Linked DNA regions of Arabidopsis thaliana. The protein of the gene in region 2 interacts with the protein of the main gene of each other region in a pairwise test. Each region holds a gene or a part of one and is shown on either strand. Other genes may lie near its edges. The genes, in order: AT3G11100 and DEL1.

Region 1 (4,450 bases), about 14 Mb from region 2:
CTTGCTGCTTTTCTTGATCTTGTACCTTATAGTGACTTGATGTTGCTTGATGGGTCTACTAATCTTGATGCTTACTTGTATGATCTTGGACAGCCTCCTTTTGTATAGGCCTTATCTCTCTATCATATATCTCTTTATCAGCTGTATTTGCACTTTGCTTTACAAGTTATCTTTGACAATCTAAAGTCTGTCCCTAATGTATGAATTCCAGTATGCATAATCAGATGCTTACTTCATCATATGTATGAAAAAGGGTTTTAACTTCAAAAGTAACCATCACATGCGATGAGATAACTCAGGTACAAGATGAGCCTTGGAAGGTCAGAGTCCTTACCAGTTTTGGACCAAGTGGTAGGCCAAGGTGAGTAAAGTGAGGTGTTTTAGATGAAGAGCTTCTTTGTAAGTCAGGTATGAATAGGAGAGCACATGCTTATGTCATCCCGAAATTCTACCAAACATGAAACATTGATATATATGCTTCTATGATGTTCTTTTTTGAGGCTCCAATAATACAGCCTCATGTGTCAACTCGTCTCCCTCAGGCCACAAGAGTCTTGTCCTGGAGATTCCAGAGTGCAGCAAAGTCACATAAGCAAACATCCAAATCAATAGCTTGGTGGGTTTGATCAAATTCCAAACTGAATTATGAATGACTCTGATAAGAGTTCTCCTCAGAACCGTTCTACGCATCTTGTTAAGTCTGTACACATTCCTGAAACCTGCCTAAGCAAAAGAGTAATTGCAGATCACAGAAAGAGAGATGAGCACAATTTGGAACTGCAGACACTGATACACAAACCATCATACATTGATACTTCACAAAAGTACATCTTGATATGTCAGATACTATGAGAGTTCTTTTGGTAATTCGCATTGCTACTACCAATGTAACTCTACAATGCTAAAAAAGAGAATGAAAAAGAAGAAGAAGAAAAAAAGCATCGCGCTATAACTTAAGAAAACCTAAAGATCAATAATAATAACATCTTCTCCAAATCGTATGAGCTTTAGATCCAACCATTGCTCCTTGCTTCACATCAGTAACTCCTCCACAATCTACAATCCTACAACTTCTTACCTATACAACAAACAAAGCACAACTGAAGTTTCAGTAAACTCATCAATCACAACAAAACACACATAAAAATGAAAACTTTACCTGAAGCAGCTCTTCGTTTCCCAAGTTTAGATTTCTCAAGCTCCAATTGCATCTCCATCAACATATTCATTCGTTGTAACTCAAGCTCCTTTGCAACTTCCATTCTCTGTTTCTCCAATTCAATCATCATCTGTTGCTTCTTCCCCTCGATTCTCTCAAACGCTTCCCCTAACTTCAGAATCGATCTCGCTAGCTCCCTAAAGGCTGATCCTTCACTCGAATCTACATCTTCAACTTTACGATGCTTCCTCACCACAAATCCCCAATCACCCGCATCATCATCATCTTCTTCGTCGTCATCATCATCATCATCATCGTCATCGAGAGAGCTACCAGTTGATTTAGATCCAGTAGGATTCAAATTAGGGTTCATCAACGCCGATTTAACAACAGCACCGGACGATTTCTTCATAACCGGACCGATTAAGAAATCGAGTCTATCAAAGAAGCACCAATTCGATAAAGGTTTCGCCTTTTCAGTTTTGTACTTCTTCTTCAACGTATCGATCCGGTTTTTGCACTGTACATCGGTCTTTGGCCGGCCATTCCCGTGGCTTGAATTGACGGCGTCGGCGACTTCTTTCCAATCGTTTTGCCGGAGATTTCCCCGGTTGAGATTGACGTAACGATCTCCCCAAGCTTCGATCAATGTCGCCGTAGCGTCTTCGCTCCACCAATCCTCTCTTCCCGCCGGTAGACGGTGAGTCTTCGACTGAGTCTCCGGCGTCGTCTCCATCTCGGAGTGGGAAAGAGAGGAGGCTAACGTGCGCGGTGGAGAAAGAGGCTTAGGATAAGAATTTCTGTTGGATCGGATTTTTGGTAAAGTTAAAAGAGAAATTACGGTTAAAGGAGAGATTTTTGATTACCGGCGGTGACGTCAGCAACGGCGATTATCTTCTTTCTCCTACCTCTCTCTTTTTCCTCTGCTAACCGAATCAATCACACTCATTTCTGAAAAACCGGTTATCGAAAACGGTTATCGAAAACCGGTTTAATCATAAATTGAGAGTCCTACTAACTAGGCTACTACTAGTTATAGTCAATTTCAAGCTTCTTTTAATGCGTTTCTACGGGTAATGATGATAAGATTACATTATTAAACTCATAGACTGATTGATAATAACGATTAGGGCTAGAATCTCATCAGTTCATGTCATTATAGGAAATCTTATAACGTGTATTTTTGTGTATTCTAGGAAAGACAGTAAATATGAGGTTGTATTAGTTTTGGTAGTGGTTTTTAAAAGTCATAATTGGAAAGAAAGAAATGTTATCAGAATATTAAGAAAATTTATACGTTTTGTGTATTCCAGTAACAAGATCATTTACGTTACGCCGTAACAAATTGAAGTTTGGAAGTGAAAAATGGTGGGATGTAATTAAGGAAATAGGTAAGCAGGCGAATTGTTAGGTAATAAGAGAGAGCATCGCAAACGTGTTAGGTCGTAGACTCTATGTCTATAATGTATGTTTCGTGCCGTGTCTTGTCTAATTGTCTTTTTGCTGTCTCGCCAATTGATATGTTAGTCCATGCCTAACTACTACTGTTTCCTCATAACTACTAAAATGTCGCTGAAATATTTGAAAAAAGAGCTGAGGTGTTTTTTCTGTCGATCAAAGTTTCCACGATGGTCTTGGTGAAGAGCTAGTAGAAATAAGCATATAGTTAGTGATGTTAACTTGGGCATTGAATAGCCATTTGTTAAATGGGTATGTGCAAAAAAAAATAACCCATTTAAACCCATTTAGAGAAAAATATCAAATGGGGTTAAATGGGTTACCCCAATTAAACCTATTTAATAAATGGGTTTACCCACAAACAAATGGGTACCCATTTATGTTTTATTTTATATTAGTTATTTTTATTAAAAAGTAGATAACTTAATTATAACTAAAATAAAGAGCAAAATACTAAATATATTTAAAACAAAACGTAAAATCACGTTTTTCCGCTAAAACCCATAAAATTACGTTTTCCCACCAAAATCACGTTTTTTACCAAAATCGAAAATCACATTTTCCCACCAAAATCGTAAACCGACGTTTTTCCGCCAAAATCGTAAAATCACGTTTTCCCGCCAAAACTGTAAAATGACGTTTTCCCACCAAAATTGAAAATCACGTATTTTCGCCAAACCCGTAAAATCACGTTTACCCGCCAAAATCGTAAAATCACGTTTTCCCGCCAAAATCGTAAAATCACGTTTTCCCGCCAAAACCGTAAAATCACGTTTTCCCGCCAAAATCACAAAAAGTGTTTTCCGCCAAAACCGTAAAATCACGTATTTCCGCCAAAACCGTAAACGACATTTTCCCGTAAAACCGTAAAATCAAGTTTTCCCGCCAAAATCACAAAAAAAAATATTTTTTGCCAAATTTGAAAATATTATTATCATTATATGTTATTGAAATCTATATTTTAGTAAATTATAAATATTTCAGATTTAGCTAATGTTTATGGACTGTTGTTATTTATCTATTAAGTTTATGAATTAATTAATAAAAGGCAATATCTCACTTAATTGGTTTAAATGGGTTCACATGGATTTACTAAATTTAAATGGGTAGGGTTAAATGGGTTTCAAAAATAAATGGATTTATATGAGTTTAAAGTTAAATGGAGTGGGTTTAAATGGGATGGGTTTAATTGGGGTGGGTTAGCCCATATTAACATCACTACATATAGTTTTCTAAACTAAATATGTCATTATCATCATTTACTGGTTTACATGCATCTTTTATACATTTCAAACTTTCTTATGAAAACGCAGATGTGAAAAGATAAATCATGATTTACAGGTTATCAAAGTGATGTGAGTTGGAACGTAAAACAATTTAGTTTGTCAACTGAATCTTAGACGCAATCGATTATTGTTACTCTTAAATCACTTTACAATAATATCAAATATCACATCCTGCAGCCAAGTAATCGAGCTAATCCATGATCAAGTATAGGTGGTGAAGCAACTAAAAATGTAGCCAATTTCGTTTGTACGCATAATTAAACAATGCTATTTATTTTAGTATGTTGCTACTTGCCAGTTGCTACCATTGGGATCTCGAAAACACACAAACGTACGTGCATGTTGCCTAATATAGTCTTTATTATTGTTCCTAAACTAATTAAGACAAATTAAAACAATATATAAAGTAACAAAAAAAAATCCCACTTTCCTTCAAACTTGAGTCTTGCTTGTACAGACAGTTGTACTACTTGTGGAAGCTGTTTAACTCAAATTAATATTCTCTTTCTGTTATTTTATTTAAGGAAATACAATCACGTGACTGAGA
Region 2 (5,639 bases):
AAATCTGGAGAGAGGAAGTCTTTGGTCCTGCTCTGTGTGTGAAAACATTCTCCACCGAGGATGAGGCAATTCAGCTTGCAAATGACTCTCAGTGAGTGTAGATTTCTCTTCTTATCTTGAAGTAGAACTCCACTGATGACGTGTTAGATCATATGCCTGACTTTATTTGTATTTGCAGATATGGATTAGCAGGCGCAGTATTATCAAATGATCTGGAGCGGTGTGATCGTGTTAGTAAGGTGTGTATCTAACTTTTACTATCAACAATAACAATCAATAACCTCATGATTGAACTTAATCTCTAAAGTTTTATGAATCGTAATCATTGTGTGTTTCAGGCTTTCCAGGCGGGAATAGTGTGGGTCAACTGCTCTCAGCCATGCTTCTGCCAAGCTCCATGGGGTGGAACCAAACGCAGTGGATTTGGCCGTGAATTGGGAGAATGGTTAGTCTCTTTCGTTAGCTATAAGTATTAAGATTATCAAACCATTAGAAAAAGACACTCTCCAACTAGATGGAATTGTGTCCATAGTAACTTAAACCGTAATAGATTACCAACAAAATTTGAATTGAAACATATTTTCTTCGTCGCAGGGGACTTGAGAACTACTTGAGTGTGAAGCAGGTGACTCAGTATATCTCTGATGAACCATGGGGATGGTACAAACCTCCTTCCAAGCTCTGAGACAAACACTAGTTCCTGATATTTCCTTAAAACATGTACTCATGAGAATATACCAATAAAGCAAGAGACCCTTCTGTAAGAGAAATGGTATTGCTACTTTAAATTCTTGAAAAAAATGAAAAATAAGATGAGATGATATTTCTTTTTGTTTTTCTCAAAACAACATGCCATACAAAAGTAGCAAAAAACTGGCGAAAGATGAATGCTCTTATATGTAACATACAAAAGTTACAGCCTACAGTAAACTTCAGAAAGCAAAGAGGGTATGCGATCTGTGAATTAATGTCGGATTCTTGCAGTTACAATTGTGTGGAGAAACTAAACCACATTGATCAAAAGAAATGACTCTTGAAGCTCTCTACACGAATGATGATTGATGTTCACAGGTAAGAGAAGAAGAAGAAGAAGAAGAAGAAGAAGAAGAAGAAGAAGAAAAAGAAGATCTAACGGTGTTGTGATGTATTAGGTAATGGATTCTCCTGGGTGACTTCGCTGAACCATGTCTTCCAAGCATCCATGTAATGGGAAAAGAGGTCTTTCAAAACTGAAATTTGTTCAGAAACAGAGTTAATTTCATAGCAATATTTTGACAAGTTTGATATCAAATGGATGTGAATAAAATATATGCACCTTGGTTTTGGTAAGAGGGACGGTAATCAGAATCCAGATTCTCAACATCAAAAGCTCTCCTAGAGTTATCCTCTAAACCAGCAGTTGGATATGTACCAGTGCCTGGTGCAAAAGGTCCAAAATGGTAACCTCCTCTTGATCCATGTCTTGATTCATGAACATCAAAGCTTTTGTTATAAGAACTCTCTGGTGTTGAGTGCTTTTTCATCTTTAGCCTTCTCTCTGTAGCGTTTTCTTGGGACGAAGATGATGATTTGCTTCTCTTAACATTGACGTTTGTAATATCAGTTCCGAAAGCTCTTTTTCTTGACTCCAATTGCAACAAATCGCTGCTCAGTGTGAAAGTAGGCTCACCATTGTACCCTAACCACTTGAAAGCTGGTTTCCTAGAATCTAAGGTGTGAGTCTGCCACCAGAGAATACAGAAACTAGTAAGACTTAAATCACAGCTTGAAATCATAGATGGTTCACAACTGTTGTAGCTATTGATAACTTTGACTTACCTTCTCTATGAGATTCATTGACGACAAGACATTTGCTATATCATAAAGCCGCCTCACTTTAGCTGCATAAAAGTAATCAATGTGTCAACAAACACAGATCGATTTGTCTCAACCGAGGATGTTAACATAAAAGAAAAGACTTTTCAGGTCACAAGACGAAGATAATTACTTCGCATTATTGATGTATTGTGGGCATCACCAAGCAGTAATTTTGCAGCGTCATCAAGGGAGATGATCCTAATAGCCTAAACAGTTGAACACATAAAAAACAAATCTTTAGTAACTTAGTGAATAACTCTTTAGTTCAAAAAACGAATCTTTGAACTTCTCACTTACTTCAGAGCAAATAAAGAGTTTGATAAAGTTCTGAGTAAGCAATCCTAAAGATTTCTCTCGTCGGTTATCTGTCATACATAACCAACCAACAAAATGTTAGGATATCTACATTGCATCTCATAATTCATATCCCACATATAGAGTTACCAAGAGGGTAAATCACTTAACTACTTTGCAATGGCACTAAACCCGAACACAATAAGTACTACACGCACAAAATGAAACAGTACCTATTTTGGAGGGATCTGAAGATTGGGGAAGAGAACCAGGTTTTGAACTATCAGTCTGGCTACTAGAGTGAGGCTGAGAAGACTCTTCATCATCATCCTCATCATCAGATCCCTGAAAGTATGAAACTTTAAGCATTAGAAGTATGAAGACAACAAACTAAAGACACAAGTATATCAAAAGAAACCAAATCCAAATGACTTACTTTAACATTCTCATTGACATAGAAACGATGAAAAGTGTCCTTAACCCCCTCTTCCTACATCAAGAACACTTCCTATGAGAATATGCAAATCAAATCGCTACATTTCTTCACAATTGGGATTGAATGGGATTGAATCCGAATACAAAACAAATGAAAAGACTCACTTGTAGCTCCTTCAATGCTCCTGGAATTGCGGAAAACCCTTTCCACGTATACTGATTCTTTGCTCTTCTTGTTAAAACCTAAATTAGACAAAACTCGAATTAAGCAAACATAACACTTCTGGATTCTGAAAAAAAACAAAGTAGTGGAGAAACAAGTCTCACCCCAACACTCTCCAGAACATTAACAATATCATAGATTCTTCGTCTCTCCACTCCTGAAATAAACCCCAAAAACCCCAATCAACAAATTAAGATGTAAAATCAGAAATGAAAATAAAAATCACAAACACAAAGTGGGCAATACCTAATTTCGAGGCAGCATCATCAAGCCCAACCATTTCAATCCCTTCTCGATTATACAAAGCTAAGAAACTGAGTTTACGAAGAACACTAATCAGAACAAATTCAACAACAAATAAATAAAATGGGTTTAGTAAAAAGGCACTAACTTGGTACAAAGAAGTCCGAGAGATTTCTGTTTGCGACTATAGGAATGGTGTAATTGTAAAGCCGAAGAAGATTCCGGTATGGAAGAAGGAGAAGTAACGGCAAGTTTGAATCTTTCTGGCGATAGATCTGACATGGTTGACGCAAACGATGTCTGCGATTGAGAATTTGATATTGTATTTTGGAGGGATTTCCTAAAAAGAGAGAGGGGGAATTTCCCAAGATACTTGAGCGCCAATTTGAATTTTTTGGCTCCTCCTTCTCCGTAACATTTACACACTCCTCTAAATTTTGGTAAAGCTGAAACCTTTACGGTTTTGTGCTCGGTTCAGATCGCAATTTTTTGGTTTTTGTCTTTTTGTTTTTTCGGTTTAGAAAATTTCTTACAATATTTTCAGGATTCTGTTCAACTTTTTCATTTTTCTTTTCCAAAATTAGATTACATTAACCAAAATAATACATTTTCAATCAATATTATAGTAACAAGATCTATTTTGGATATCTATCTTTTTACTTGAACTCAAAAAGTAAAGTTGTAAGGGGATTTTGGTTTTGTAGGATTTAAAAGTGATTTGGTCTGAATTTGTTTTTGGTTTGGTATGGTTTGTTTGGTTTTGGAAAGATTAAATCTTTTGATTTGTAATCTTGTAAAGAGTAATGCCCTTAAAATGGTAGATTCATGATAGTGTTTAACTACTTGCATAAGCAAAATCAGGGTCTATCTTTGACTAAATTATAGTCTTACCATTAAAAATTTCTATTGACCAAAACAAAAGGTTATTTTGTCCAACTAAGATTTTTTTTTCTATAATAGTTTTGCATACCTTTGGTCTTACTCATTTGAGCTAAACCAATTAATTTAAAGTTGTTGACAAAACAAAAAAAAAAAAATTGCATTCTTATTTTATTTTTACACTTTTTCAATAATTCATTGATACCTAACAGAAATTAATACAAAGTGACAAAATTGATATGATATTAAAATTAGTTGTGTAAAGAGTTTTTGTGTGTGTGTGTATGTTAGTTTCATGGGCCTATTTTGAAACCCAAAAGTTAATCAATGGGCCCAATACACACGATCTCTCTGTAAATTTCAAAATAATTAAGATGGAGGGAGCAAATGTTTCTGAAATCTCTCTCCACGACGAAGAAGAGATTCTTCGATTCTTTTTTGAATACTTAAAGTTAAACTCTCAGTTTCTGCTTCTGCTATGGTCTCTAAAGAGTGTTGCCGAAACGAAATACGTGCGGCTATTCGACAGCTTAGCGACCGCTGTTTATACTCCGCCGCAAAGTGGTTCGTTTTCTCAAAACCCTAATCTTATTCAACCTCTCCCATTGTTGCAATCTCTAGCTCGCTACTGCTCTGGTTCGATTAAAAATCGATTTTTTCACTATCCTTTATGGGTTTTACTAATTTTTTTGTATCCTGGGCTAATTGTAAACAAATTTGGTTAAGCAGATTCGTTGATTCGAATTCACTTTTGTTGCGAATTTGGTGTTGGATACATTCCAATTCAGATGATTCGACATGTGGGTTTTGTGTTATGATATGTTTGAGCTCGACACTAATTGAAAAAATGTGTTCTTTCGATGGGAACTTCTGATCTCCGGTTCAATCTTTCGATATGTTTGAGCTCGACACTAATTTGTGAATTATGAGTTAAAGTTTCAGTTTTTAGTACTCGTATTGTAGTTCAATGGTGGTGAACTATTAGTCAGTTCCATATTTGATATCTCCTTTGCTTTCATCATTGCAGGGCAGGAGAGCAGCTTGTGGGGATAGAGCAAGACCCGTCTAATTTTACACCTGCGAATACGAGGTTTCAGCGAGGAAGCTCTAGCATCCGGAGAAGGTTCAGCACCAATGAATCTATTTCAACACCGTTACCTTCCGTTGGCTTCTCTCAAGCAGCTACTCCTCTCCCGGAAGAAGATGAAGCGATTGATGGTGACATTTACCTTTTAGCAAAGTCCTATTTTGATTGTCGAGAGTATAGACGGGCCTCCCATATGCTTCGTGACCAAGTGAGCAAGAAATCACTGTTCTTGCGTTACTATGCGCTTTATCTGGTATGTTCTGTTTCTCTATCTCCTATTTTCTATTTAGCTAGAGCTTTTATATCTTATCAGAATAGGGTGATGGAATGAACTTTTTAAAAGTTGGCTCCAAAATGCTTTTGAGTGTTCTTTTAGCCTCGGCCAGTAGGCTGCCTTCAAATAAATGCAATATATGGACGTTATTACAAACTTATAGGACTGAGCCTCTGATTCACAATTTTGTTGATGTCCAGTCACAGTTATGTTCTATGATACAAGAGATATGAGGGTATGCAACTGATATACAAAAGTAAATAAATGAGTGAAACTTAATTGGAATTGTTCGTCCTGTTTAAAGACTATTCTGTAAACGTTTATGGCAATTACTTACTGAGAGCTTG

Evidence for each region.
Region 1: the proteins of DEL1 (region 2) and AT3G11100 interact in binary tests that used the Arabidopsis thaliana proteins (3 or more experiments, as listed by UniProt).

Annotation. Positions count from the first base shown.
Region 1 is NC_003074.8:3,475,426-3,479,875, forward strand, and holds AT3G11100 (sequence-specific DNA binding transcription factor), read right to left. Parts: upstream 2,476-4,450; 5' UTR 1,896-2,475; coding exon 1,160-1,895; intron 1,079-1,159; coding exon 1,065-1,078; 3' UTR 762-1,064; downstream 1-761. Other genes in the region: LBD21 (LOB domain-containing protein 21), read left to right, coding at 1-108.
Region 2 is NC_003074.8:17,781,336-17,786,974, reverse strand, and holds DEL1 (DP-E2F-like 1), read right to left. Parts: upstream 3,645-5,639; 5' UTR 3,335-3,644; coding exon 3,201-3,334; intron 3,124-3,200; coding exon 3,056-3,123; intron 2,967-3,055; coding exon 2,914-2,966; intron 2,830-2,913; coding exon 2,752-2,829; intron 2,642-2,751; coding exon 2,588-2,641; intron 2,497-2,587; coding exon 2,385-2,496; intron 2,223-2,384; coding exon 2,155-2,222; intron 2,064-2,154; coding exon 1,988-2,063; intron 1,881-1,987; coding exon 1,819-1,880; intron 1,722-1,818; coding exon 1,316-1,721; coding exon of another isoform or gene 1,287-1,315; exon of another isoform or gene 1,253-1,286; intron 1,230-1,252; coding exon 1,129-1,229; 3' UTR 815-1,128; downstream 1-814. Other genes in the region: ALDH10A9 (aldehyde dehydrogenase 10A9), read left to right, coding at 1-91, 179-239, 339-445, 595-685; APC8 (anaphase-promoting complex subunit 8), read left to right, coding at 4,410-4,495, 4,959-5,271. UniProt on the Arabidopsis thaliana protein: Inhibitor of E2F-dependent activation of gene expression. Binds specifically the E2 recognition site without interacting with DP proteins and prevents transcription activation by E2F/DP heterodimers.